Stegostoma tigrinum: one gene and its partner. The protein of the gene in region 2 interacts with the protein of the main gene of each other region in a biochemical or structural test. Links are inferred from orthologs where the notes say so. Each region holds a gene or a part of one and is shown on either strand. Other genes may lie near its edges.

Region 1 (10,802 bases), on a different chromosome or scaffold from region 2:
AAATGAATTGCCTCCATAGCTTTCACAGGTGGGCACGGGGGAGGAGGTGGGGGAAGAATTCCAGAGATTTGCTTCTCTTTGAGTAAAATAAAAACTCCTCATCTCAGTCTTGAACAGCCTACTCCTTATTCAAGATTCCTCATTCAGGGGAAATAGTTTTCCTACATCTGACCTTTTGAGCCATATAAAAATTTTAAATGAATGAGATCACCTCATTATTATAAATGCTAGAGATTACAGGCAATCTTAATCTCTCCTTTCAGGTGAATCCCACCATCTGAAATTGGTCTGGTCAACCTTTGTTGCATTCTATGGCAAAAGTAATCTTCCTAGTTAAGGACCCCATACTGTACTCACTGTGCCGTGCAGTATCACCCAAGACACTACTCAATTGCAGCAGGACATTTTTACTCTTGTGCTCAAGTCCTCTTGCAATAAAAATCAACAGATAATTTGCATTCCTAATTTCTTACTGCACCTGCAAATTGAGTTTTAGTGGCTTCTGAACAAGGATGCCCAAGTGTCTCTGGACATTCACACTTACCAATTTCACACTATTTAAAAATTAATCTCCATTACTGTTTATCATTTCAAAGTGGATAACTTTGGGCAAGAACATGGGAGAAGGAAAGATATAATCAATTAGTGTCTACATTCCATTGAAGCCTCTTTGCATCCCATGCAGTGTTCACATTCTCATCTAGTTGTACATCACTAGCAAACTTGGAGATATTACAATTGATCCCCACAACCAAAGAATTGCTGCAATCTGTGAATAACTGAGGTCAAAGCAATGATCCTTGCAGTACCCACTAGTCACAGTGCACTGACCTGAGAACGACGAATACTTTCTTCCTCTTTGATTCTCTGTGAAGCAGTTTTCAATCCTTGCCAGCATATTAGCCCTGATCCCAATTCCCATGATTTTGGTCACTAAGCTCTTGAGAGATCCATTCAAATATATGAATTAGAAGCAAAAGTAAGCTACAGCGCCTTAAGCATAGTCTGCCATTTGGTAATGGGATCACTAATGTGATTACTCTACATTCCCTCATAATCTTTCACCCTTTTGTTTTTCAAGAATCTGTCTATCTCTGCCTTAAAATAATTCAAGGACTCTGTGTTTCCACTACCTTTTGATGAACAAAGTTCCAAAGTCTCTCAGTTCTTTGTAAAAACAAAAATTCTCCCCATCTCCATCTTAAATGGGTGATCCCTTGTTTTGTAACAGTGACTCTTGTTCTAAATTCTCCCACAAGAGGAAATTAAACGACCGTATTATTTAAATGAAAAAAACTGCAGAAAGCTGAAACACCGAAGGATGTGGGGTAATTACTTGTGCATGTGACACAGAAAGCTAGCAGATAGATAATCGGGAAGGCTCATGGAATGTTGTCTTTTTATTTCAAGGGATTGCAGTAGAAGAGTAGAGTTATAGAGTCACATAAGTCTTGCTGCAACAGTACAAGATGCTGATGATACCACATCTGGAGTGTTGTGAACAGGTCTTGTTTCCTTTTTTAAGCAAAGACATCATTTCATTGGAGGCATTTCAGAGAAGGTTCACTTGGATTAGCTCCAATATGGAGGGATTGTCTTCTGAGCAAAGGCTAAACAGGTGGGGACTCTATTCACTGAATTTTAGAAGAATGAGGGATTGTCTCATTGAAACATGAAGGATTCCGTAAAGGTTTAACTGGGTAAGAATTGAGAGGATGTTTCCCTTCATGGGAGGGTTTAGGACCAAAGGGCATAGTCTTGGAATAAAGGGTTATCAATTTACGACCGAGGATGAAGAGGAAGTTCTTTTCTCAGCTTGTGATTCTCTGGAATTCTTTACCAAAGTTCTGTTTTCATGCCATCATGATTGCCTTTATTTCAGTTTAAAATACCGGACTTGAAGTTATACTTTATCTTCTCAAGCTGAAAGCAAAATTCAATCGTACAATGGTTGTTGCTCACTAAGGATGCCATCATTAATAGGTCATTCATTTATCCTATCTCATTGTACAATACCAGATCTAGAATAGCCTGACATCTGGTTGGCTCCTCAGTGTACTATCTTCAGAAATTAGCTGAGAAAAAGTCCATAAACTTCTCATCTAAATTGCTTTTGCCTATCCAATATTTCCAGTCCATTTGCAGATTAAAATACCTGACATTATTGCTGTACTTTTACATTCTCATTATTTCTCCTGTACATACTTCATCCTGTTTTGTGGTTACTATTAGGGGACCTGTACGTCATTCCCATCATCTTATCCATGCCGATCAAGTTTCCCAAACTAAACTAGTCCCACTTGCCTGCATTCGGTCCATATCCCTCTAAACCTTTCCTATTCACGTGCCTGTCCAACTACTTCTTAAATATTGTAACTGTACCTGCATTCACCACTTCCTCTGGTAATTTGTTCCACATAAAAACCATCCTCTGTGAAAAAGTTGCCCCTCTGGTCCCTTTTAAGTCTTTGTCCTCTCACCTTAAAAATATGCCCACTAGTTTTGAACTCCCTCACAGTCAGAAGGGTCTGTTTCCATGTTGTATGTTCTCGATGACTTGACTTCATCATTTAACATTTCCTACTTCTACAATTACTTCTCCATGTGCTATTCTAAAAACTCAGGACATGCCTCTTTGTTGTGCTAATACCATCATCAATTAACACAGCTACACCTCCCCCTTTTCCTTGCTTTCTATCCTTAAATGTCTTGTGATCTTCAATATTCAGGTCCTAACCTACCTCAGTCCACAGTCATCTCTCTCTGTAATGGCTATTGTATTTCACTTACTTAATTATACTTGTGCTCGGTTTTCTTTTGCTATGTGCATTCAGATACTGAGCCTTTAGTTATTATTTTTCTAATCTTTCGAACAAACAGTGGATTTACTCATGGATTAGTATTCTCTGTTCCTTTCCATCATGGTCTGTTTATCATTTTCCATATTAACACCATTGTGTCTTCCTTCCCATGCTTTTTGGGAAGATGCAGTAAATCAAATTTGATCCTTTGTCCTCATCATTTAATTTAAAACCCTGTTCCTGGTTATTTGGCTTAACACAGAACTGGACCTTGTTGAATGCTTTATGAAAATCCAAATACACCACATCTACTAGTTCCCCTTTGTCTATTCTGCTAGTTCCATTCACATTGACAAACATAACTTTCCTTATATAAATCCCTTTTGCCATTGCCTAAACTTACCATTATTTTCAAATATGCAGTTAGCACATCCTTTATAATTCATGATTGTATTTCCTGATGACAGATATCAGAATAACAAAGCTACAGTTCCCTGTTATCTTCGTTCTTAAATAGTGGAGGTATATTTCCTACTTTCTAATCTGTACAGATTGTTTCACAGTCTTAAAAAACTTGAGATACGGTCATTTAAGGGTCATTACTTTTATAACACTCTTTTCAACATTGAGATGTAGATCATCAGGTTCAGATGCTACATTTTTAGTAATGCTAATTTATTTTGGTTTCCCATTTTCACTAATTCAGGTTCTGTCATTTCCAGGTGACTGTTTATATTTTCCTCCGTGAATACAAGATACAAACTATTTGTAAATTTTCTGTCATTTCCTTATTCTTTATTATAAACTGTACTGACTCTGCCCTGTAATGGGCCCACATTTGTCTTTATTAGTCTTTTCCTCTTTGGATACATGTACAGAAGGTTTTATGATTTTTTTTTTTGCTCTTTTACCTTTGTATTGTATTTTCCCTTCATCAGTTTCTTGGCCTTGCTTTGCTGAGTTCTAAGATATTCCCAATCCTTACGCTTTCTATTTTTTTGGCAACTTTATAAGTCTCTCTTTGAGATCTCCTAGAACTTTTTCGCGTTAGCCATGGTTGAATCATTTTTGTGGTTAGGTTTTTATGCCTCAAAGGAACGTATATTTGCTGTAAATAATTTATTAATTCTTTAAAGGCTAGCCAGTCCTTGTCTTTGGTTATAACCTTGACTGTCTGTCTTTAATTTGTCTGTCATTGCTAGAGGGATGGAGTTTAAAAACAGGGAGGCTATGCTGCAGCTGTATAGGGTCCTGGTGAGGCCACACCTGGAGTACTGTGCAGTTTTGGTCTCCTTACTTGAGAAGAGATATACTAGCACTGGAGGGGGTGCAGAGGAGATTCACTTGGTTGATTCCAGAGTTGAGAGGGTTGGATTATGAGGAGAGACTGAGTAGGCTGGGAATATATGCATTGGACTTCAGAAGAACGAGGGGAGATCTTATAGAAACATACAAGACTGTGAAGGGAATAGATAAGTAGAGGCAGGGAGATTGTTTCCACTAGCAGGTAAAACTAGGACTAAGGATCATTGCCTCAAAATGAAGGGAAGCAGACGTATGACTGAGGTTAGGAGGCACTTCTTCACCCAAAGGCTTGTGGATTTGTGGAATCCCCTGCCCAGTGAAGTGGTTCAAGCTACCTCACTGAATGTTTTTAAGGCAAGGCTAAATAAATTTTTGAACAGTAAAGGAATTGAGGGTTATGGTAAGCGGGCGGGTAATTGGAGCTGAGTTTTGAAAAGATCAGCCATGATCTTATTGAATGGCGGGGCAGGCTCAAGGGACCAGATGGCATAGTCCTGCTCCTAGTTCTTATGTAATGTACTTTCTCAGTTTACCATAGCTAACTTGTCCCTCATTCAGAAATGCACGTTGATTCGGTCACCAGTAGAGTACAATGACCTATATAGTTCTATCATAACCAGTCTGTTCTTATGGTTGAACCTCAAACTTGCCAAAAGTTCTGGTAATTCATCCCTGAATGCTCCTTTACAAGATTATTAATCAGTCTTTTCTCATTGCACAAAAATGGATCTAAAGTAATCTAATCTTTACTTGGTTCCTTGAGAAGACTATTTTCAGGAATTCCTTCTCATAGCAATGGTGCCAATCAGTTTTCTCAAGTCTATATGTAGACTGAAGTTCTCTGTGATTACGCTATCATTGTTACATGCATCTCCAGTTTTATTAGCACTACTGTTTGGTGGCCTCTAAACAACTTGCACCAGGTTTCGCTGCCCGTCCCTGTTTCTTAGCTCCATCTGAACGGATTCTAGATATTGATCTTCCAATCTAAGATCTTCTCTCACCAATATCTCCTGAACAGATGAAAGGGATTGAGCTGGCACTATGGGCTATTTGGTGAAGATGTGGGGGAGTAGCACAGTTGGTGTTTGGTTGCTGGTGTTTCAAAACGGTTACTGTCACCCACAAACACGTGTGGTTCACTTTTAAACTTGGTGTATAAGTTAACTCTTGAAATATCCCTTCAAAATTTGGAGCGGGGGGGTGTACATATGCACTAATACACATGGCACTTCACCCCTTTACCCCCCACCTCAACCTGCCACACTGCTCTCAGTTGATGCAAATTTGGTACATTTGTTAGTGTGGCAAAGCTCACAGTGAGAGGCCAATGGCGACAAACTCTCACATCTCATCAAACAGAACAGGTTATGTTTTACGTGAGATAACATAAGATGCCAGCAGACTGGGGGAAACAACCCTTTTAAGCGATTGGCAAAAGGTGAGTTTTTCTTTGGGGCTGCGGTGGAGGATTACCTGAGGGAAAAGTTTTCAGAGCCGCTGGAAGGTTAGCGGGGGGCGTCGGGTCATTGGGTGGGACAGGGAGGGTGGCTCCCCGTTGAGGCAGCACAGACACATCGGGCTGAATGGCCTCCTGCGCTGTGTGGGGGCGATGATGTTCTCTCGGTCTGACCCAAACCCCGCCGTCGAATCGTTCAGGCAGCGGGCGAGCTCGAGCTCCAGTCACGAGGGGGCGGAGTCGGCGCACGAGGGATGGGCACGGATTGTGTGTGTTGACCGCGGGGGGTCGCAATTGAAGTCAATCGGCGGACCCCCTTCTTCCCAACGCCCACCCGCTGGCGCCTATTAATAGCCGTGACGCAGCCGCTTTCCGCCTGTTTGCCGAGCGTGTGTGGAGCCGGTAGGGTGTAGGGTGGCCTTTTGGCTCGACGCATTGACCTATTGCGGGCGGGCGGTAACCACCTCCACTCCTCCATCGAGAAGGTGAAGCGGTGAAAGAAACGGGATGGGTGGTGGGTGGGAGTGCTGCTGTTGGAGGAGATGGTGTGACCGGGTTGGAGGGATTCGAAGCTGTGGGCCAGCTTCGTTAGCCGCGTCCCCTTTAGAAGGCGGCGGCGGCTACTAAACGGGTTTCGGTTCGAATTGGCTAATTTCGGGGTGAATCGAGAGACAGAGAGAGAGAGGGAGGGAGAGGGGGGGACCCCTAACGACCCCAAATATTCTAATCTTCTATTACCGGAGCAGTCTTTTCTCATCCCCCCCCCCCACCTGGCGTTCGCTTTTCTGTGGCATCGTTAGTATAAAATTGGAGGGGGGGGGGGTGCAGCCGACAAGTGGGCGGCGGCGGGGCTTTTTATTTTTTTTGAAGGTTTTTTTTCTTATACCGTTTTACCGCAAACGTTGGTGATCGTTCGGCGAAGGTTACGGGTGGAGCTTGTCCCTGACCCTGTCCGGAGGAACCGTGTGTTGGGGGTGGGGGCGGTTCGGTGCCCGTTGGTGAGAAAATGGCCGGTGTGTCCGTGCGGTTATTGTCAGTCAAAATGGAGGAGAGCAACATCAACTGGAATGGGGGCGTTGGAGAGGGAAAGGCAGCAGGTATCTTTATCACTGTAACAATTCGGAGAAATGACGGAGATGCGCTTAAAAAAAAGGAGGGAAAGCGGCTGAAGATCGAGAGAGGCGCTCTTTCTCCCCCTCCCCCCCCTTACAGGAGGAGATGGCCACTGTCTTTAGAGTAAATCCACCGACTCCTGTAATTTGGAGATTTGGTATGGGGAGAAGGCGTCAGTATTGCGTTTTTTTTTTGGCTTCCTAACTTTTTTCTCCCAATTTAACTCCCATCCCTAGTTCCTTAAGGCTGAGGCAACAACCCACTGGCAAAAGCAATGGGTAAGGAAAAGATCCACATCAACATTGTTGTCATTGGCCATGTGGATTCTGGCAAGTCCACCACCACTGGCCATTTGATCTACAAATGTGGTGGCATTGACAAGAGAACCATTGAGAAGTTTGAGAAGGAAGCTGCTGAGGTGAGAAAGCAAGAGGGTCAACTTTATAATGAAATGAGAGGCTGGATGAACACAGCAGGCCCAGCAGCATCTCAGGAGCACAAAAGCTGACGTTTCGGGCCTAGACCCTTCTTCAGAGAGGGGGATGGGGTGAGGGTTCTGGAATAAATAGGGAGAGAGGGGGAGGTGGACTGAAGATGGAGAGAAAATAAGATAGGTAGGGAGGGGATAGGTCAGTCCAGGGAAGACGGACAGGTCAAGGAGGTGGGATGAGGTTGGTAGGTAGGAGATGGAGGTGCGGCTTGGGGTGGGAGGAAGTGATGGGTGAGAGGAAGAACAGGTTAGGGAGGCAGATACAGGTTGGACTGGTTTTGGGATGCAATGGGTGGAGGGGAAGAGCTGGGCTGGTTGTGTAGTGCAGTGGGGGGAGGGGACGAACGGCTGGTTTTGGGATGCGGTGGGGGAAGGGGAGATTTTGAAGCTGATGAAGTCCACATTGATACCATTGGGCTGCAGGGTTCCCAAGAGGAATATGATTTGCTGTTCCTGCAACCTTTGGGTGGCATCATTGTGGCACTGCAGGAGGCCCGTGATGGACATGTCATCTAAAGAATGGGAGGGGGAGTGGAAATGGTTTGCGACTGGGAGGTGCAGTTGTTTATTGCAAACCGAGCAGAGGTGTTCTGCAAAGTGGTCCCCAAGCCTCCGCTTGGTTTCCCCAATGTAGAGGAAGCCACACCGGGTACAGTGGATGCAGTATACCACATTGGCAGATGTGCAGGTGAACCTCTGCCTAGAATACACCTCCTCCCACCCACCCTCCTGCAAAAATTCCATCCCCTATTCCCAATTCCTCCGCCGCATCTGCTCCCACGATGAGGCATTCCACTCCCGCACATCCCAGATGTCCAAGTTCTTCAAGGACTGCAACTTCCCCCCCACAGTGGTCGAGAACGCCCTTGACCGCATTTCCTGCAACACATGCCTCACACCCCGCCCCCGCCACAACCGCCCAAAGAGGATCTCCCTCGTTCTCACACACCACCCCACCAACCTCCGGATACAATGCATCATCCTCCGACACTTCCGCCATCTACAATCCGACCCCACCACCCAAGACATTTTTCCATCCCCACCCCTGTCTGCTTTCCGGAGAGACCACTCTCTCCGTGACTCCCTTGTTCGCTCCACGCTGCCCTCCAACCCCACCACACGCGGCACCTTCCCCTGCAACCGCAGGAAATGCAACACTTGCCCCCACACCACCTCTCTCACCCCTATCCCAGGCCCCAAGATGACTTTCCACATTAAGCAGAGGTTCACCTGCACATCTGCCAATGTGGTATACTGCATCCACTGTACCCGGTGTGGCATCCTCTACATTGGGGAAACCAAGTGGAGGTTTGGGGACCACTTTGCTGAACACCTGAATCATATTCCTCTTGGGAACCCTGCAGCCCAATGGTATCAATGTGGACTTCATCAGCTTCAAAATCTCCCCTTCCCTCACCGCATCCCAAAACCAGCCCAGTTCGTCCCTTCCCCCCACTGCACCACACAACCAGCCCAGCTCTTCCCCTCCACCCACTGCATCCCAAAACCAGTCCAACCTGTCTTTGCCTCCCTAACCTGTTCTTCCTCTCACCCATCTCTTCCTCCCACCCCAAGCCGCACCTCCATCTCCTACCTACCAACCTCATCCCACCTCCTTGACCTGTCCGTCTTCCCTGGACTGACCTATCCCCTCCCTACTATCTTCTTTTCTCTCCATCTTCGGTCCACCTCCCCCTCTCTCCCTATTTATTCCAGAACCCTCCCCCCATCCCCCTCTCTGATGAAGGGCCTAAGCCCGAAACGTCAGCTTTTGTGCTCCTGAGATGCTGCTGGGCCTGCTGTGTTCATCCAGCCTCACATTTTATTATCTTGGATTCTCCAGCATCTGCAGTTCCCATTATCACGCGTCAACTTTATGGCTGTTGATGTATTGTTGCAAAGTTACTTTGTACGATTCTATAATTAAAGATGTGATGAGCATGACAGTATTGTAAATACCATGTAGGATACTGAACAAACTTGCATTATAATGAAACTGTCTCTTTAACCCTCCCAATTCAGTTGTATTCATCACTGCAACTAGACCCGAAGTTACTATTCTGTTTTTGTGGATCCAAGCTCTTGAAAAATGAGAATGAAACTACCAAAGTCAATGGTAGGCTAAATTCTGAAGACAATTCAAGGTGTTGCATCTGTAGAATCAGCAGGATTTGCACTTGCCTATCTCCTATTTTTTTTCTCCATTTGTTTTTGCTAAGCTTTATTATACTGAAAGCTACTAATGTACCATTTGTGGTACAAAGTTCTTCTGGCTTTTGGGTGGAAAACAAAAATCCTTTGAGTACACAAGTTCTAATCCAGTCGCCCATTAGTAGATAGTGTTTGATTTGAGTATGATCCAAATTAAATTCTCTTTGCTTGTAAAATTGAAAGTAGAATGAAATGTATGTCCCATTTTGTTCTGGCCTAGCAAGAGCTAGAGTGCTCAAAGGGTTAAATTGCTTATTGGTCTTGCATGATTGGATCATTGACTTACCAGGATCCCTACATAAGCATGTTACTGTGGTTGTCTTGTTTGCATTTTCATTTTCCAGAGAAGCATCTGAGTAGAAAACCTGGAGTAGATTATGCTTCAAGGATTTGGATTCTCAGTAGCTATGTTGGGTGGGTGGTTGACTGATGTCATCTGTGCCCTTTCAGATTACTTTCATTTTTTTTAAAAAAGAAAACTATTGCAAGCAAATATGAAAACAAAAGCTACCCTATTTGGACAGAAGAGAAACATCAAGCATTATTTTGCCTAAAAAGTTGCTTATGTGTACCTAATTGGGTTAGATTAGATTAGATTCCCTACAGTGTGGAAACAGGCCCTTTGGCCCAACAAGTCCACACTGCCCTTTGGAGCATCCCACCCAGACCCATCCCCCTATAACCCACATGCATAGAGCCTTGAGACTCGTCCCTGTCACACCTGATCTCCTCAGGTCTAATAGTTATGGTATACTGTCAGAGGAAATGCGTTGGGTGTATAGAAACTTTTAAAATAACCAATTGACAGCTGGTCAAAAAACTACCAACAGTTTGAATTATTTTTGCCAAGGCTGTAATTGCAGCGTTGTCTTATCACTTTGTTAGCCTGTGATTGATTTAGAGTTCATAGGTATACTGCTTGAAATATATTTGAAATTAAGATCTTCGTAGAATTTGTGTTTAAGTCAGGTACATAACATTAGTATAAATTGCAAACAAAAACAAGTGTTACAGTGTAGGAGACCATTCAATTTGTCTTGTCATCTTGGTTTTCTTGAGAGAAGCTTGGCTAATACCTTTTTTCCTTTATAACTGAAATCTCATTCCCAGAGCCATTTTCATAATTGTTTTTCTGTATATTCTCTCTAATCCTCCACATTTTTTGAAGTGTAATGCTGACTGAAGTGCTGAAGAAGGATCGCTGTACCTGAAACATTGATTGTTTTCTCCGAGGTAGATGTTTCAGGTTTCTGGTATCTACAGTTTCTTCTGGTTCAGTGCTGTATGAAAATCGTTAACATTCTTGCTTTTTTTTAAATTGTTCTCAGTTAAAGAGCCCAGGATCCCATATGGCTTACTGACCAGTTTCTCAACCTGTTCTGCCACTTTCATCAATTGTTTCCAGTTTTCTTGTGCTCCTGCA
Region 2 (10,530 bases):
TTTGTTGATTCTGAACCTTTCAGCAATGATTTTGGTGCAAAGTGGTTCTCTTGGATTCCCACTATTTAAACTGGGCTAAGGACATGCAGATGGTGCTGTTTTCACAATTGTGAGCCACCTTGACCTGCAAGAGAGTTGTGTGTAACGTCCCTAAACAGGTTAATTAGATATCTATCAGTGCATGTGATTTCATAGTTGAATTATGGACAGTGTCAAGAGCTGAGAACTGGATGTGAAGATTACAGAATGTTAAGTGTGTGAGACTGAGTTGAAGCTGTAAAGGAAGGTATGAGTTCTAGTTGAGAAACAAATTGCTGCTCGGTGATTGATGTATTAGAGTTGAGCAATATCTGAATCTCATCATTCTATTCTAAGGATATGGCATGTGATGAAACATTCATTGACCTTGAGCACTCATGAGATCATTAAACCTTTTCCTACATCTCATCTAGATCTTTGGGATGCATTGTTTGACAATATTGACAGCACTGGCTATCTGGTTGCACTGCCATCTCCTCCTATGCACCTTATTTGCCAAATTCTTTAGTGTTAGGTTAAACGCCCTTGAGTATACTGTCTGCTCTGCTTCCCCCTTGAAGAGGTGCTGACTGGCTTTTGACTGTGCAAGCCACCTTTTGAATAGTGCTAAGCATGCATAAATTTGAATCCCTTGTTGCGGTGTCCAGCCTGTCTCTGAGAACCGTGGTACAGTTATTTAAGTGGGCATGAAGAAGGGAATAATAGTTGGAAAATTCTGCATTGGAAAATCCTAGAAACATTCTGGCCATGCAGTTTCAATGGAAAGCCATAGATACATTTGTTCAGATTGGTGATCTTTTGTCAGGGTTCTGATGAAAGATAATTAATCTGAAATGTGAATTGTACTTTCCTCTCCAAAAATGCCATTTGAACACTAAGCATATTTTTATCCTCAACTGACCTAGACACAAGCAATTCCAGTGGTGGTTACTCAATGATCAAAATGAAGACACAGGCTGATTTTTTTTTTCCATCTCTATTCCAGTGGTTCTTTGTAAAACTGGAAGAGGAGTTGCTACAATTGAGCACAGTCAGTTAACTCTCATAGACTAAGTTGAACATGCAATTGCTGTTACAATTATTTGCAATCTTGACAATAGTAGGAAATATTCAGGATGTATAGCTGTTGGATGTTGTGTGTTGTATATGTGTAGTAGGATATCAAATTGCCAAAATAGTCACTAAATAATAAACTACTGCACTGATATGTTACTGCATTTTGTTTTGATCACAAGTTCGGCTGAGTTCTGAACTCACCTGTCAAGAGCACTGGTGCAATTTTAACACTGCTCATCTGTACAAACTGACAGAAGGAATAAAATGTGACTTAAAATACTGACAATATACCCCAATTAAACAGGCTGAAATCAGTCCATTGGCAATTCCATTGTATTGTATTGCAAACTGTTTCCAATTAAAACAATTCAGTAATATACAAATTAAAATTATCTATAACAGACTAGAACATTAAATAGCTAGTGAATAAAAGTAATAATATTTATTAATGGATTTAGAAATTATAGTCAATTCTTTCACAAATATAAATAATCGTCAATTTATATAAATTGTGAAATAACTTGTCATTTCATATTTAGACAAAACAGCAAAAAAGGTTTTTGTAATAAAGTACAATTTTGTAAGTAAGTACAGTAAAAATCCTTAACTTATTCGGTTTTGGTTTTTTAAACTTCCCCTCAGCTCCGTGACATCGTGTAATTAGTCAGCAATACTGCATTTTCACAACAAAATTCAAACACTTCTGTTATCCATTCGATGAGTCTGTCAAAACACAAGTTTTTTTTTAAAGTTCTAGTTCCCGAAATGGAAGCTGTAATTCCCGCAATTCTTCCGGCAGTTCTATTACTCTCAGCTATGAAATCAGTTCCAACCCTTGCTTCGGTTCCCGTCTGCTTAGTCATTGTCACTATTTCCAGGCACAACTCAAGTTGAGTCATAGTCCAGCGTTCAGAGAAAATAATTACAGACAATCGAAAGTCCAGTCTAGCCTGCTCTCAGCAACAAATAAAAACTCTAATTTTCCAGCGCCAAGTTTTCGGACAGCTACTGAGAATATCTCCTGAGCAATTCCTGAGAAACAAAAGCGAATCTTAAATCCAGGGTCTGTGATTTAAAATTGATCACCGCTCGGGCAGGTTGATGATTGGAACCCACTGGTCCAAGTAACGACTTTCTTTGCAGAAACAGCTGACTTTGCTCAACGCTGCGTCTTTCCATGGTGCAACTTGACTCTGAATTGAAGACAAATAAAATCATCCTTATGGAACAAAATATTTTAAAAAGTGCATCATTTAATTCTCACCGCCCCCTTCTTTCCAAAATACTGTACTTGTAATCTCAAATCATGATGTTAGCTATTCTCTAACTTATGCCATCTATTGGTGCAAAAAGACATTACGTCAACCACGACCACATTTACATCCAATCACAACAATCAGTTGAGTATCGGTATATACAGTTTCGTCTGCTTCTAGGGGTCCAATTGTCAACTTGCAATAACCTAGACTGATTTCAGTCACCGTCTGTAACTCGTTTCATACTGTCTACAAATAACTTTATTTAAATCCTCACAAAGGTAAGATTTCTGTCATTGTTTAAAACTGATGACGGTTTTACGCCTCGGTTATTGGATTCGTTCCTGGTGTGACTAGTATAATACTTACAGTGATCAATATGCAATGGAGATCTTTGGGTTCGCCTGCCCCATCAATCCCGCCCAAGATCTCTGCTAGACGGTGCATGTTGTTCACTCTCATTATGTTAATATCGTTTTCGCAGCAAAAAGCTTGGATCAGAGTAAAATGAATTTGTAAAGCCACATCCAGATCATCCCCTTCATCCGTCGCAAGCAAGCATAAAACAACGTTGTCAGGGTCCCTGTCGAAAAGTATAAATAAAATCCGTCCGTTTTTAAACTGATTTTTTAAAAAGTAAAAATGTGAAAACTTTGGTTCTTGGTGGATACTTACGCGTTGAGGAGTTTTGCTGCTTCGTACACTCCAACTGTGATGCAGCCTTGCGCCAGCGCGGAGCTCAAAACTTCTTCCAAAGCTTTTCTCACTACGTCCATCCTACCACCCGCATCAGAAGTTTTAAAAAAAACAGTATTAATTCCTTCATCAATAACAACAACAGGATCTAACTCCAGAGATTAACAATTCTGCGTTATGGTTGTGTCAAATGAATGCAAATGTATGTGCTTCATCTCACAAAAAATTCTACTATGACAGGAAGATTAAACTTCTTTTAACCGACGCACAACGCAAACCAAGAATCTGCACCGCACGCTCAATCAAACACTGTTTCACTTTTTAAAAAAAAGATAGGGTTTATTTAAAGTGCAATCGGTGCGCTTTATAGCATTGCTTTTACCTGTCTGCTTTCTGATCGCCTGTAAGTTCTTCAAAAGTCATTCTGTTTGTCGGTGTGAATGAGTTTCTCAGGTTGCTACAGCTTTCTCTGCCTGCAATTGACAGTGCCTTGCGTGCGCTAGTGGGCTCGATCCAGCTCAATGCAGCGGCTGCTGTCAGCTCCGGCACTGAGAAGGCTCGCGGCGTTGAAGGCGGAGTTACAGCCAGGGGGCCGGATGTAACAAGGGAAAGCCAACCAACCCAGTGCTCGCTTATTTGCATGGGCGCTCCGCCATTGGTCGTTGTCCTTTATGCTAATAAGGACTTTGCTTTCACCCTGACCCGCTGGGGACAAAGGGTCAGCCCTGGGGGAGGTGGGTTTTGTGGTGGGGGGGAGGGTTGGAGCGGATACCGAAGCGTGTCTGTCTCGCAGCTCACTGGGGCGGTCGACACATCAATCAATGCTCATTCCTCATTTCGGTATCCATGTTTGGAAATTGTAGGATTGCCCGACGAAATTATTCATAGAAGCAAAAGCCTTAATTCTTTGTTTAACGTCAAACGTGATATTTAAAAAAAAGTCCACTATGTGTAGATACAGTAAACAAACCTCCACTGCAACGTCTATCACCAAGGACAAGGGCAACAATGTTAAGGGAACGCCAACACTTCCACATTCAGTTCCAAATCACGTCATCTGTAATTGCGCGTTGATAGTCATTCCTTCATCATTGCTGGTTCAATATCTTGGAATTTCCTACGCTTTAAATGTAGTCAGTTGACTGTAAAACACTTGGGACATTCTAAGGTTGTGAAAGACACCAAGTAAACACAAGCTTCACTCGTCGTCTCCATCTCAGGCAATCAGCTTGTAACTGATGTCCATTTCAAGCCCACTGACTCCCACAGCTACCTAGGATACACCTCCTCCCACCCACCCTCCTGCAAAAATTCCATCCCCTATTCCCAATTCCTCCGCCTCCGCCGCATCTGCTCTCACGATGAGGCATTCCACTCCCGCACATCCCAGACGTCCAAGTTCTTCAAGAGCCGCAACTTTCCCCCCACAGTGGTCGAGAACGCCCTTGACCACGTCTCCCGCATTTCCCGCAACACATCCCTCACACCCCGCCCCTGCCACAACCGCCCAAAGAGGATCCCCCTCGTTCTCACACACCACCCCACCAACCTCCGTATACGACGCATCATCCTCCGACACCTCCGCCATCTACAATCTGACACCACCACCCAAGACATTTTTCCATCCCCACCCTTGTCTGCTTTCTGGAGAGACCACTCTCTCCGTGACTCCCTTGTTAGCTCCACACTGCCCTCCAACCCCACCACACCCAGCACCTTCCCCTGCAACCGCAGGAAATGCTACACTTGCCCCCACACCTCCTCCCTCACCCCTATCCCAGGCCCTAAGATGACTTTCCATATTAAGCAGAGGTTCACCTGCACATCTGCCAATGTGGTATACTGTATCCATTGTACCCGGTGTGGCTTCCTCTACATTGGGGAAACCAAGCGGAGGCTTGGGGACCTCCGCTCGGTTCACAGTAAACAACTGCACCTCCCAGTCGCTAACCATTTCAACTCCCCCTCTCATTCTTTAGATGACATGTCCATCATGGGCCTCCTGCAGTGCCACAATGATGCCACCCGAAGGTTGCAGGAACAGCAACTCATATTCCGCTTGGGAACCTTGCAGCCCAATGGTATCAATGTGGACTTCATCAGCTTCAAAATCTCCCCCTGCCCCACTGCATCCCAAAACCAGCCCAGCTCGTCCCCTCCCCTCACTGCATCACACAACCAGCGCAGCTCATCCCCTCCCCCTACTGCATCCCAAAACCAGTCCAGCCTGTCTCTGCCTCCCTAACCTGTTCTTCCTCTCACCCATCCCTTCCTCCCACCCCAAGCCGCACCTCTGTTTCCTACCAATTAACCTCATCCCACCTCCTTGACCTGTCCGTCTTCCCTGGACTGACTTATCCCCTCCCTACCTACCCACCTATACTCTCCTCTCCACCTATCTTCTTTTCTCAATCTTCGATCCACCTCCCCCTCTCTCCCTATTTATTCCAGAACCCTCACCCCATCCCCCTCTCTGATGAAGGGTCTCGGCCCGAAACGTCAGCTTTTGTGCTCCTGAGATGCTGCTTGGCCTGCTGTGTTCATCCAGCTTCACACTTTATTATCTTGGATTCTCCAGCATCTGCAGTTCCCATTATCTCTCTTCACTCGTTGTGCCCTGATTGGAACACTCAGTGTCATTATCATCAAGCAGACTGACCACCAGGGTCAGTAATGTGGAAATTAAACATGTTCCTGCCTGTATCACTGCTGTTTCAAGAGCATATTTTAAGAACATATGTAACTGTTGACAAGAATGTGAGCATATATATTTCAAGTCTGCATAATCATCTCAGTACAGGTGTAGAGCTGTAATACAAATATCAGTTACAAATAATGCATATTCAATTATTGCAATATATTAAAATTTCATTATCAATTCTACTCCACGTAAAGTAATAAGTACAAGCCTAATCAGTTCATTTTACAAAGGAGCATGCATTCAGGTTTCATCTTTTCCATCAAATCAGAATGTGCCAAAGCATTTTGGAGCGCAACCTAGGCGCAATGTCGGGTATTGCAGCAGCCAAACTGCACTCATGAATGTCTCATTAATAGCAGTGCAATTAATGAACAAATGATCTGTTTTAGCAATGTAAATTGAGACACGATGGGCAGGTGCCCATGTGGACTGGGGTGGACAAAGTCAGAAGTTTCACGACAACAAGTTATGGCCCAACAGGCTTATTTTCAATTACAAATTTTCAGTATGCTGCTCCTTTGTCAGTCCACTATTGACTCTGTATCCATCACTCTAACATCAATGTAATTCAAATCCAAATCAATTGTGCAAAGAAATGTTTCCTCATGTTGCCTCCGAATTTTTGTCAATCATCCTAAGTCTGTACCCTTTGATTACAGACCTTCCAGCCAATCGAATTAGTTTCCGGGTCTCTCTCTGCTAACATATCCATTTAATTGTGCTATTTAGCATCTCTCTTCTCATTTTTTCGACCATAATGTATCATCTCATTGCTTTCTGCATTGAATTGTATCTGTCACAAGTCTATCCCATTGAATTCTACTATTATCTTAACATTTATAATTCTTCTAAGTTTTGTGACATTTTCAAATTTCAAAGTTACATGCTATAACTTTAAATCAAAGTCACTAATAAATATTAACAAAATAGTGACCTTAAATACAGAATCTTTGGAAAAGTACTGTATACCTCATTTCAATCTAAAATACCGCCATTTATTTTAGGTGGATTGGCCATGCTAATTTGCTGATCGTGTCCATGGATTTTCAGACTGGGTGGATTAGCCATGGGAAATGCAGGGTTACAGGGATGGCAACCACCTACAAATTGATGTCCATTTCAAGCCCACTGACTCCCATAGCTACCTGGAATACACCTCCTCCCACCCACTTCCCTGCAAAAATTCCATCCCCTGTTCCCCATTCCTTCGCCTTCGCCGCATCTGCTCCCAGGATGAGGCATTTCACTCCCGCTCATCCCAGATGTCCTCGTTCTTCAAAGGCCTCTACTTACCCCTGCAGTGCTCGAGAACGCCCTCGACCGTGTCTCCTGCATATCCCGCACCTCGTCTCTCACACCCTGCCCTCGTAATAACCACCCAAAGAGAATCCCCCTAGTCCTCACATACCACCTCACCAACTTCCGCATACAACGCATCATCCTCTGACACTTCCGCCATCTACAATCCGACCCCACCACCAAAGGCATTTTTCCCACCCCACCCTTGGCTGCCCTCTGGAGAGACCACTCTCTCCGCAACTCCCTTGTCCGCTCCACACTCCCCTCCAATCCCACCACACCTGGCATTTTCCCCTGCAACCACAGGAAGTGCTACACCTGCACCCACACCACCTCCCTCAATCCCATCCCAGGCCCCAAGATGACTTTCCATATCAAGCAGAGGTTCACCTGCACATCTGCCAATGTGGTACATTGTCTCCACTGTACCCGGTGTGGCTTCCTCTACATTGGGGAAACCAAGCGGAGGCTTGGGGACCGCTTTGCAGAACACCTACGCTCGGTTCGCAGAAAACAACTGCACCTCCCAGTCGCGAACCATTTCAGCTCCCCTTCCCATTCCTTAGACGACATGTCCATCCTGGGCCTCCTGCAGTGCCATAATGATGCCACCTGTAGGTTGCAGAAACAGCAACTCATTTTCCACTAGGGAACCCTGCAGCCCAATGGTATCAATGTGGATTTCACCAGCTTCAAAAATCTCCCCTCCCCCCACTGCATCCTAAAACCAGCCCAGCTCATCTCCGCCTGCCTAACCTGTTCTTCCTCTCACCTATAACCTCCTCCCATCTCAAGCCACACCTCCATTTCCTACCTACTAACCTCATCTCGCCCCGTTGACCTGTCCGTCCTCCCCGGACTGACCTGTCCCCTCCCTACCTCCCCACCCGTACTCTCCTCTGCACCTATCCTCTCCTCTATCTATCTTCAGTCTGCTCCCCCTTGTTCCCTACTTATTCCAGAACCCTCACCCCATCCCCCTTTTCTGATGAAGGGCCTAGGCCGGAAATGTCAGCTTTTGTGCTCCTGAGATGCTGCTTTCCTGCTGTGTTATCTTACAGGGATAGGGTGGTGGGCAGAGTTTGGATGAGATGTTCTTTAGAGGGTGGTGTGACTTTGATGGGCTGAATGGCTTGCTACCACACGCTAGAGATTCTGTGATTCTATGATTACCTTCTGTTTCCTATTCCATATCTCGATAACATTCAATCAACTTGCTCATCTGTGACACACATTTGAAACTGGTAGGGACTGAATATAGACCTTCAGGCCCAGAGGTTGGGGCATTACCACTGTGCTACAGGAGCTCTTCTATTTTGGGTCTACTCTCTTAAACAAAATATTAATCAGGTTAGACAGCCCTGTTAGGGCCAATTTTGTATCTATACTGATATTTCCCCTTTTAATCCACTAGCTTCAATTTTGTTAACTAGCCTGGTATGTGATATTTTCCCTCTTGAAAGTTGAGTCGCATGACAACAATTGCACTGCTTTCAACAATCCTCTCAGTTACTGAATCACATAGCTTAATCAAGTGAATCAAACACAACTGGCCTTTAAAAATTACGTTTTTTTTGTTTAAATTTCTCCTTGTTTGCCCAAGTGGCTGATAAATATCTACTGGATTATTGTTTCTCAAAATTTATTTGCCTCTGACAGTATACTGAATTGTAACTGTCAGGATTACCCGCTTCCCTTTGTATAAACAAGGTTTTAACAGTTTCAATCCTTATGTCTTTTGACTCAACTCTATCAAAAGAGGCTTGTGGCCAGAGACTTTGCAATTTCTACTCTTACTGATTTCATCCCGATCAGGTAACTTGTCTATTTTAAATAAGCCTTCCTAATTTCTCCCTTTTATTTAGGTTATCTCATCTGATACCCCAGCAACCTCTTCATTTACAATAACTTTAGCTAACTCCTCCTCGTTAGTGAACATTAGTACCAAGTGCCATTTAATCTCCTAATCTTGCCTTCTGCTTCCACAATAGATCACTACTTTGCTCTCCGATCAATTTCACTACTCCTTTGATAACCTTTTCACATTAATATGCCAGGCAACCTTGGATTCCTTATTATGTTAGTTGATAATCTTTTTTACTGATCCTTGCCTCTATGAATTCATTTTTCATTTCTATTAGCTTCTTTGCATGATTCTGCTATTTACTAAGACTGTGAGATATGGGAGCTAAAGTAGGCCATTTGGCCTATTGAGATGAGATAATGGGAACTGCAGATGGTGGAGAATCCGAGGTAACAAAATGTGGAGCTGGATGAACACAGCAGGCCAAGCAGCATCTTAGGAGCACAAAAGCTGACATTTCAGGCCTAGACCCTTCATCAGAAAAGGGGGATGGGGAGAGGGCTCTTAAATAAATAGGGAGAGAGGAGAAGATAGGTGGAGAAGAAACAGACAAGTTAAAGGGGTAGGGATGGAGCCTGTAGTGGTGAGTATAGGTGGGGAGGTAGGGAGAGGATAGGTCAGTCCGGGGAGGGCGGACAGTTCAAGGGGGCGGAATGAGGTTAGGAGGTAGGGAATGGAGGTGTGCCTTGAAGTGGGAGGAGGGGATAGGAGAGAGGAAGAACAGGCGAGGGAGGCAGGGACGAGCTGGGCTGATTTTGGGATGCAGTGGGTGGAGGGGAGAACTGCTGTGCTATTCAATGAGAACATGGCTGATCTGATAATCCTCAGCTCCACTTTCTTGCCTTTCCCCCATAACACTTGATTCCCTTACTGATTAAAAATCTCTCTATCTCAGCCTTGACTATATTTAATAAACCAGCCTGTCCTGCCTTCTGCCATAAATAATTTCACAGATTCACTACCCTTTGGGAAGAAATTTTTCCTTTGCCCTAAATGTGTGACCCCTTATTTTGAGATTATGCTGTTTGGTCCAAAACTCTCTGACAATGGGCAACAACCTTTCCACATCTACCCTTTCAAGTTCCCTAAGAATGCTGTATGTTTCAATAAATTCACATCTCAGTCTTCTAAATTCTAATGAGCACATGCCCGACCTTCTCAACCTCTCCTCGTAAGATGATGCCTCCATACCCGGTGTCAGCCTAGTGAATTTTCTCTGGACTGCTTTCATCTATTTTCTAATATCAAGTTGATATCTATCATATGCCCTTTTTTAATTGTTTCATTTTACTCTATAAATGCTTCATTGTCTGGCTTCGATTGCTCTCCCTATGTACCTCGAATGAACCTGATAATCTCCTCTTTAAAGGCTGCCCATTGCTGTATTACGTCCTGTATGCCAGTCATGGCTTAATTTTCCTGACCTGGATCCATGATCAATTTCCTGAAATTCATATTACTCCAGTAAACTATTTTTGTTCCAGATAAATTATTGCTATATCACTCAGTTTGCAGTATTAAAGGAATATCTAAAGGAATACATGTTAAGGGGAATTCTGAATTTTATAGGTGTTGTTATAAATACTCCAGGGCAATAAGGGCTAGCAATAAATACTTGC

The links.
Region 1: the proteins of growth arrest and DNA damage-inducible protein GADD45 alpha-like (region 2) and elongation factor 1-alpha 1 form a complex in vitro, tested with the Homo sapiens proteins (2 studies listed by BioGRID). The link is inferred for Stegostoma tigrinum from reciprocal best matches to the Homo sapiens genes GADD45A and EEF1A1.

What each region holds. Positions count from the first base shown.
Region 1 is NC_081357.1:98,947,546-98,958,347, forward strand, and holds the start of elongation factor 1-alpha 1, read left to right. Parts: upstream 1-5,845; 5' UTR 5,846-6,050; intron 6,051-6,914; 5' UTR 6,915-6,952; coding exon 6,953-7,096; intron 7,097-9,184; exon of another isoform or gene 9,185-9,257; coding exon of another isoform or gene 9,258-9,284; intron 9,285-10,802. UniProt on the Homo sapiens protein: Translation elongation factor that catalyzes the GTP-dependent binding of aminoacyl-tRNA (aa-tRNA) to the A-site of ribosomes during the elongation phase of protein synthesis.
Region 2 is NC_081361.1:51,753,664-51,764,193, reverse strand, and holds growth arrest and DNA damage-inducible protein GADD45 alpha-like, read right to left. Parts: upstream 3,603-10,530; 5' UTR 3,471-3,602; coding exon 3,430-3,470; intron 3,129-3,429; coding exon 3,027-3,128; intron 2,935-3,026; coding exon 2,721-2,934; intron 2,633-2,720; exon of another isoform or gene 2,348-2,632; intron 2,289-2,347; coding exon 2,178-2,288; 3' UTR 1,521-2,177; downstream 1-1,520. UniProt on the Homo sapiens protein: In T-cells, functions as a regulator of p38 MAPKs by inhibiting p88 phosphorylation and activity.